Linked DNA regions of Drosophila melanogaster. The protein of the gene in region 1 interacts with the protein of each later gene in a pairwise test. Each region holds a gene or a part of one and is shown in the gene's direction. Other genes may lie near its edges. The genes, in order: CG13097 and CG4866.

Region 1 (5,144 bases):
ACATCAGTAAAAAACCATTACAATCAAATAAAATATTTTGTTTAATCTGATATTGTTCGGAGTTAACTTATCTTAAGAGTATGCTCGGCTGCCATTAGGAAGCGCATTCTGCATCTGTACAAAGTTCCTGGATTCTGTCCGTCATACTGATACTGTTAATGCTTACTTTAAGACTATCCTCGCTTCCTCGCCATCGATCAGAATCTTCTGACCATTGAACAAGCAGAACTCACGTTTAACGTGCGCGAACAGCAGATCGGTGATTAGAAATATCTGCCCAGTGGAAAACGCAAGAGTGGCACCGAAATAGAAATTGGCATTTGCCGATCCTGCATAGATCCACAAATGCCAAAGGGCTCCCATCATAGATAGAGTGACCAGGAAGAACGTAAAGACCACAAAGCCATGGGCCATGACTGAAAGAAATTACCAAAGTGCTTAGCAGTTGAAATAACTACGTGAGCCAGATAACTTACATTTCCAACATCTTTTCCACAGCGGAAGCAAGGCCAGATAAAAGCCGACATCGCCCAGGCTGGGATACGCCCTAAAAACGGCCATAAGGGCCACCAATACCGTGGCTAGCAGTAGGGGCTCCTTGCGCAGCTTAATACTTAGTGGCACCAGGTATAATACGGTGGCATTCAATTGGAATGTGATTAGGAACATGGTGCGGAAGTGCTCAAACATTTCAGTAAAAAAGTACCAGAAGAGACCGATATTTGGCTGTAGATCGCGGAAATAAAATCTGTAAGATAGTTAAATACGTAAAAATACAAACAGATAACTAATAAGATAGTTCTTGCTTACATAAAACCCAACGTTCCATCCAGGAAGTTCCAGCTGTTCAGCACAAAATAGTTCGCAACTGCCACGATTAGACAACTGACGATAAAGAGCGCCGCTATAGCCACACCCCTCCTGACCGAATTCCGTGAAAAGACCAGGAGCAGTGGTGCTATAAGTACAATGGGATAGAAGCTGCGGACAGTTTCGAACGCGAGGACTAGAAGGCATGGAATGAGCATTCCCTTCACGAGGCAGTAGAAAAAGAAAGCCAGGAACAGATTGCTTATCACGGTGGAGGTCATTCCAATGCAGCTCATAACAGTCAGTGGACTGAAAAGATATGCCACGATCACAAGTTCCGGAATGTCAAGCTTGTCCAGCGGGCCAAACTGCAGCTCTTCCGTATCCTTGGCATACTCCTTTCGCTCCTTGTCCTGCTGATCCTGCTTTTGCTTGACGAATCTCAGACTCATCGCATAAAGCAGGGCCGCCGTGCAGATATCCAGGATTATGTAGAATATCGGCAGAAACTGCGGGTATTTTTGAAACAATCCGGAGAGCGCGCTGAGTATCAGCGGCGATTCGTGTACCAGGTCGCCCAGATAGGGATCAATGCCACTCTGTAGAAGAAATATCCCCTCTTGCACTGCAAGAATAACTCCATTCAGACTTGTTCATCTATTTGATGTCTACTTTGTTTACTTACTGCGCTTGTGTGAATTTAAAGGTGTCGCGAACTCCACTCGGTTGCCAATCATCGGAGCCAGCGGCGTGCGACAGAAGTAGAAGCGCACGGCGCCGCCCAGCAGGAGCAGTTTAAAGAACTTCGAATCCATCTTCTAGTTGGGCATAGTTTTTGTGAACGGACTCCGCCTGTAAAAAGCCGCCTACAGCTGGCTTGGTGGTGGCAAAGGCCTTCGATAAATTATCGATTTCCTTGTCACGATATACGGCTTCTGGTCTACTGTGTAAGCAATTATGATTTTTTTTAGAGCTTTGTTTTCTTCAAGTTAAATATATTTATTATTTTTGGAATAACAAATTTTGGCTCAAAACAGGATTCCAACTCGCATAAAGTTTTTAAGCTTGGAAAAACTTGTACTTGTATCACGCGCTCATCTCTATGTATCTGTTCCATCTCTCACCAACTGGTTGTTGTTTTTGGACCCGCTCTTGCGCTCGAATTGTTGGAATATATATTTCATTTAATTAAGCACAGAAAGCAGTAGTAAAAATGATTGGAAGTAAAAAATCCAAGGAGGCGAATGTCTTCAAGGAAATCGCAGAGAACTTCGAGCAGCTGACCAAGAATCCAGAGCGTTTTCTCCAGTTTGTTTTCCTTCCAAAGACCGCGCACGTGTTTTTTCAAACGTAGTCAAAACAATTTATATTTCAGGCCACAGCCGGAACAAGTGAATGCCATCGAGCAGCTTATCCAGCAGACATACGCCGTTAGCATCAGCGAGGATGTGGCGAACAAGAAGGAACTGCTGCCGGAATTGGTGCTGGAGCAAATGGACGAGGAGCAGATCTGGCAGCAACTGGAGATTCGCAACGAACTAGTGTTCCAACAGGTGCTGGAGCAAACCGCCAGGCTGACGGCGATGCGCGAGCAGCACCTGGGCATTGAACTGGACGATGGTGAAGAAATAGAGGAAGAAGACGAAGTAATACAAGCTGAAGACTCAGGCGATGAGGAACAAGATGAGGAATCAGACTTCAGCGACGAGGATGGAGGGCTACAAAAGCAGAAGACCGCGCCGCCGAAAGACAAACGAAACAAGCGACTACGCAACTCTGTGGTGGACGATACCTTCTTCAAGTTGGAAGAGATGAATGAGTTCCTGGAGCAGGAGGATGCCAAGGAGATGCGCCGCCTGAACAGCAAGAAACGCGTTGAGCAGGCCGATGATATAGATCATTTCGCAGAGGATTTTGGTCTTGGCGAAGATGAGGAGGACGATGAGGAGGGGAATGTCAACTATGCGGACTTCTTTGACATGAATGAGGAACTGACAGAGCATTCTAAAAAGATTAACAAAGGCAAGCAGAAAGATTTCTTCAATGAAAACGAGAGTGAAAATGAAAATGAACCGGATGAGGATGCAAATCCCAAAGAGGGCGATTCTGATCAAAGCGAAGGAGACGAGGGCGATGATGAACCTGAAAATGATCAAGATCCAGATGAGGCGGCCAGCGAAATAGATGAATCCGAATTCGTGGCAAAAAGTGGCATAGAACCTGCCAGCGATTCAGACTCGGATTCGGAGAAAGAAGAGGAGGAGCCACAACCCACAGAGCCACCGTCCCAATCATCCAATGAGATGAGAGAGGCTCGTTTGTTTCAACGCATCCGCGACTACGAAGACATTGTCCTAGGCGAGAAGCCTTGGCAGCTCAAAGGCGAAGTAAAGGCAGCCAATCGGCCCCAGAACTCACTGCTTGAGGAGATTCTCGACTTCGATTCGACCACCAGGCCAACGGCGCCAATCACGGAAGAGGATAACCGCTCCATCGAGGACATAATTAAGCAGCGTATTCGCGACAAAGCATGGGACGATGTGGAGCGCACTGTGCGACCGGTGAACACCCCGCAAGAGTACAGAAAACAACTTGTGCTTGACCAGGAGAAATCAAAACAATCGCTGTCGCAGATCTACGAGGCGCAGTATCAGCGCGAAATGGAAAAACTCGATCCCAATCGCGATGCCGATGACAAAACTGGTCCGGAACCGAAAGAACACCAAGAAATCAAGCGGGCAATGCGTTCCCTATTCCTTAAATTGGACGCCCTCTCCAATTTCCACTTCACGCCGAAACCGGTGGCGCCGGAGATCAAGATCGTAACGAACACACCAGCAGTTCACATGGAAGAGGTGGCCCCGCTGGCGGTGAGCGATGCCAAGCTGCTGGCACCCGAGGAGGTGTTCCGCGGACCCAAGCACGCTCCACTTGGCAAGACCGAACGCGATCGAACGGATAAGAACCGCGAGCGCCGCAAAAAGAAGCAAAAGCAGCGGGCCATCCACTCGGCTCTGGAGCAGCGCGAGCTTCAGCGAGCCAAGGAGGGCAAGGCGCCCACAAAGAAGGAAGCGGATGCCAAGCTGCTCAAGACAATCACCAAGAATCGCAATGTTCAAAAGGTATATAACATTTTAGTTTATCTCTGTTTTATGTTTTGTATTTAATTGCTATTCTTGAGCGATTTTGAATTCTAAATGAATCAAACTTTAAACGATTTTCTTGCAGATCAATGCCAGCAGCAACGACCAGGGAGCTCTGAAGTCCTCAAAGGCTTTCTTCCACAAACTGCAGGATACCGCAGCGGCTACAGCATCCAAAAAGCGACCGAAAAAGGATACCGCCAAGGCGGATGCCAAGAAGCTGAAGCTTTAAACGTACACGCTAGGACTCCTTCATATTGTAATTGCCTTAAGCCAGCAAAGTTTTCTCGTCTCCAGTCACGTGCCAGAAAGTTGTCACAAGCACACACGTATGCCCACATAGCAATCCTTGTTGCAAGAATATCTTTAGCATGTACTGTGTGTCTGGGGAGTCCCCAATTTGGTGCTCCATGGGAGATGCCATGTGTCGGTACTTTTAATGTTCCATGTGCGCGGATCCATCGTATGTGTATGTGATGCGTGGGCGCTTTGTGTGTGGCGGCGTGTGAGTCAAGGACATTCTGTGTCCTGTTGAGGCGATTAGGCACGCGTGCAGCTTGCGGAATTTGACTATTCTTAGAATTATTTACTTAAAATAACTGTTTGCTATGTAAATAGTACCCTAATTAAAGAAAGCAAAGCAAGTAACGTAGCCACTTGTTTTTTTGTTGGATTAGAGTAGAAATACTCAATCATATAATCATCATCATAATTTCTATATTACATTACAAAATTAAAAAATTTAATTTTATCTTCTAAGGGAGAAATAGAGATGGGATACAAATCGAAATCGATATGCTATAACGGTCAATTTTCCAATCGGTTTTGGTGAAACAGCTGCTATTGGTGCTCGGCCCTGCGAAGGGGGTGTGTATTGGCTAAAGTTGTGACCGTGCCTGAGACATCGGTAATGAAAATAGTTCCCGATATCGACTGTAGCTACGTTTTGCGATTCTGAACATATCGATATTAAAGCGTAGCACGTGTGGTTGTGGTGCATTTTAAATATAGTTTTGCTCGAGTTTTTACGCATCTGTCAAAAAAGCAAAAAATAATATGGTTAAAGTACAGAAACCGCAGCCCAAGTCGCTGAACAAGAGCGCCAGCATCGAGGGCGTGGTTAAGAAAAAGGGTAAACCGGAAAAGACCAAGAAACTGGCCACAGACGCTACTCTGGAGTTGGCCAGCAAC
Region 2 (3,274 bases), on another chromosome or scaffold:
TGGTTCAACCAGCTAAGCTACTTGACTGCAACGGAAATATTAAAGGTGAGTACTAAAAAAAAAATTAACCATTAATCAAATAAAAAATATGATTCGTTCGTTCCTAGTTGGGCAAAAAGTCCCAGAGAGCACAAATGATCGACTTCTGGGTGGAAACAGCTCTGGAATGCTTTAACACAGGCAACTTCAACAGCTTGATGGCCATTCTAACAGCATTGAATCTTACTGCCATAGCTCGCCTAAAGAAAACGGTGAGTTTTCGTTAAGTAAAACGAGTGAAGTCTGATTTTACTACTATTTTTTATAGTGGGCCAAAGTGCAGACGACAAAGTTCGAGGGTTTGGAGCATCAAATGGATCCCAGTTCGAACTTTCTTAACTACAGATCCACCATGAAGGCAGCTGTTTGGCGTTCGGAAAGGGAAATGGCCAACGAAATTGAGCGTGCCATCATCCCATTCTTCTCGCTGTTCCTCAAAGATTTGCATGCCATTAACGAGAGCCATGAAACAAAGTGAGTTTGTTTGTGCATAAATGAGCTCTGTTTCGAGATTAACCGAATTCAAATCCGTTTGCAGATTGGCCAACGGATACATAAACTTTGAGAAGTGCCTTCATTTGGGCACCCAGCTGCGGAATTTTGGCAAATGGCAGCGATTGGACTGTCCATACGAGCAGTTGCCTAGTGTGGTGTCCTACCTGTTGAAGGCGGAGGTGCTGAGCGAGGATCTTTTGATGAAGGCCTCCTACGAAAGCGAGCCACCCGAGACCGGCGAGGAGAAGGATCACTACAAGACGTTGAAAGCTGCAAGGAAATCGAACACATAATCACCAATCATTAACGACAATCCTCGAGATAGTGCAATACAATACAAAACGATGCAATAATTCTCGCACTCTTTCGTTGGCGTTCCATTTTCACATTTTGCATTTGTATCGCGATAAAACAGTAACAATAATAACTCTTACACTTCCACTGTGTTTGTTAATTTGTACTTAAGCTTAGACGACGGTATATATTTATTTGCATTCGAATTATATATATACAAGTGACGGGCATTTAATTAGAAACACCAAAAATATGCATAAAATTACTAAAGTAATGTTTTAAATGTTGTATTTTAGCAGTTATATACCCCGAAAAATACATAAAAATAAAAGACTTCGATAAATCCCAAAGTTTTCCCTAACGAATGGTGGCGAACTTCTGAAAGTCGACCGTTCCAAACTTGCCAAACAGTTCCAGAGGATAGTGCTTGCCCTCGACGGGCGCATGGATGCGGATCTGGCGCATGTGGGTGTCCCTGCCATTCTGGTGGTTCGAGATCACAGCAATCTGAAGCATGAAGGTGCGTATGGACTTGACGTTCCCATCCTTAATGGGTATCTGCACCCAGCCGGTGGGTTCGGTCAGGTCCATCACCTGCAGCTCCTGCAAGTCGTTGAAGTTCGTTCCAGATCGTATGGAGATCCTTGATGGCGTGTAACTCTCGTCCAGCTTGTAATCCGTGTATATGTAAATCTGACTGATGTTCGTACGCTTGTGGAATTGAATGTTGACCAGGTGGGGAAGCTGACCGTCCGACTGCCAATAAGTATCCATGATGTTGTCTCGCAAACGCTCTACACCAAATCCTGAAGGCCAAAGAAAATTGTAGAATATGTAAGGATCACGTAGTTACACCAAAAGTTACCCGGCTTGCAGGAGGAGAGGCTCCAAACAGCCTGCGCGCCCACTTCCCGCACAAAGCCTAGGCGCTCCTCGGCCAGGGGGTCCTCTTCGCTGCTTGGGGGCGGGTTGGCGGTTATATCCTCATCCATTGAGGCTGCCATTGCAGCAATTACGATTTTAAAAAACTATCTAAATTTTATTATACAGAAGCCGCTTGAAGACGCACAAATCAGCTGTTTGTTTTTATGGTGCTGCAGTTGTGCGTGCTCTGGTCACACTGCGCAGCACATGTGCGAGTAGTTCGTCAACAAAAAATTAATTTGCAAAATAATATAAATAAAAATGGTTCGTAAACTCAAATTTCATGAGCAGAAGCTGCTTAAAAAGGTGGACTTCATCACCTGGAAAGTGGACAACGGCGGCAAGGAGAACAAAATCCTTAGGCGCTTTCACATTCAAAAAAGGGAGGACTACACCAAGTAAGAGACCAAATTGCTCACGTATTTAAATCCCCATTAAATTTGTTAATTTTTAGGTATAACAAGTTGTCCAGGGAGATACGGGAACTGGCAGAGAGGATAGCTAAGCTGGATGCTTCAGAACCTTTCAAGACGGAGGCCACCACCATGCTCCTAAACAAGCTGCACGCCATGGGAGTTTCCAATGATCAGCTTACTTTGGAAACGGCGGCCAAGATATCTGCCAGCCACTTTTGCCGACGTCGTCTACCCGTGATCATGGTGAAACGTGAGTACCATCCCTTAATAAGCACTTCATTTTCATATAACCATTTTCCGTTGGCAGTTCGAATGTCGGAGCACCTGAAAGCGGCCACAGACCTCATAGAGCATGGTCATGTGCGTGTTGGTCCGGAAATGATTAAGGATCCTGCTTTTCTGGTCTCCAGAAACCTCGAGGACTTTGTCACCTGGGTGGATGGCTCCAAGATCAAGGAGCATGTACTCCGCTACAACGACATGCGTGACGATTTCCAAATGTAGAGAGACTACCTCCCTTAAGATAACCAGTAGAGTAACTAAAGCTAACTTGCAATAAAACCAACTAAGACTTTGTTAAATAATCATGTTCAATAACTTTATTACATTTTATATAATAATGTTTAGATCTCATTAATATTCATTATTCCGGAGCGAATTGCGCCAAGGGCACAACTGCGCCGACACGCACATACATATACATATTTATTTTATCCTGATCCCCCGAATTACCGATCTGCTCGGAATCATTTTATAATGGCGGTTCAGTTGGATTATGCTCTATTAGTTTTTACCCTCACTTCGCTATCTAAAGTCAATCGTGTTGAAATACCTTGCGGATGTTAAAGTAATATCAGTTTTGGAAACAAGTGAGAGCCAGCGGATGTACACAATAAATTATAAGATACCAGCGTGGGATTGATCGGTCGCTTTATTTATAAAACGAGATGAGTGTGGTTGTGGTTAGGGACTAAGGTGCAGGCAGGTGCATCGAACAGTTGAGCGGTCTAAAAAGTGACTAATGAACAAAGTTAAAAGTAAGATCGATGGCAGTTAGACGAGTCGATTCAAGCCAGGCTCAGGCATAAGAAGCAAATGCATTCGAA

Evidence for each region.
Region 2: the proteins of CG13097 (region 1) and CG4866 interact in a two-hybrid assay, tested with the Drosophila melanogaster proteins (one large-scale study listed by BioGRID).

The regions. Positions count from the first base shown.
Region 1 is NT_033779.5:8,511,634-8,516,777, reverse strand, and holds CG13097 (uncharacterized protein), read left to right. Parts: upstream 1-1,909; 5' UTR 1,910-2,023; coding exon 2,024-2,118; intron 2,119-2,185; coding exon 2,186-3,932; intron 3,933-4,038; coding exon 4,039-4,185; 3' UTR 4,186-4,604; downstream 4,605-5,144. Other genes in the region: mRpL51 (mitochondrial ribosomal protein L51), read left to right, coding at 1-10; PIG-U (phosphatidylinositol glycan anchor biosynthesis class U), read right to left, coding at 163-416, 477-748, 811-1,435, 1,496-1,625; CG13096 (uncharacterized protein), read left to right, coding at 5,010-5,144.
Region 2 is NT_033778.4:17,516,278-17,519,551, forward strand, and holds CG4866 (uncharacterized protein), read left to right. Parts: upstream 1-1,945; 5' UTR 1,946-2,013; coding exon 2,014-2,150; intron 2,151-2,206; coding exon 2,207-2,418; intron 2,419-2,475; coding exon 2,476-2,672; 3' UTR 2,673-2,750; downstream 2,751-3,274. Other genes in the region: CG4853 (uncharacterized protein), read left to right, coding at 1-45, 108-251, 308-513, 578-827; APC10 (anaphase promoting complex subunit 10), read right to left, coding at 1,186-1,634, 1,694-1,832.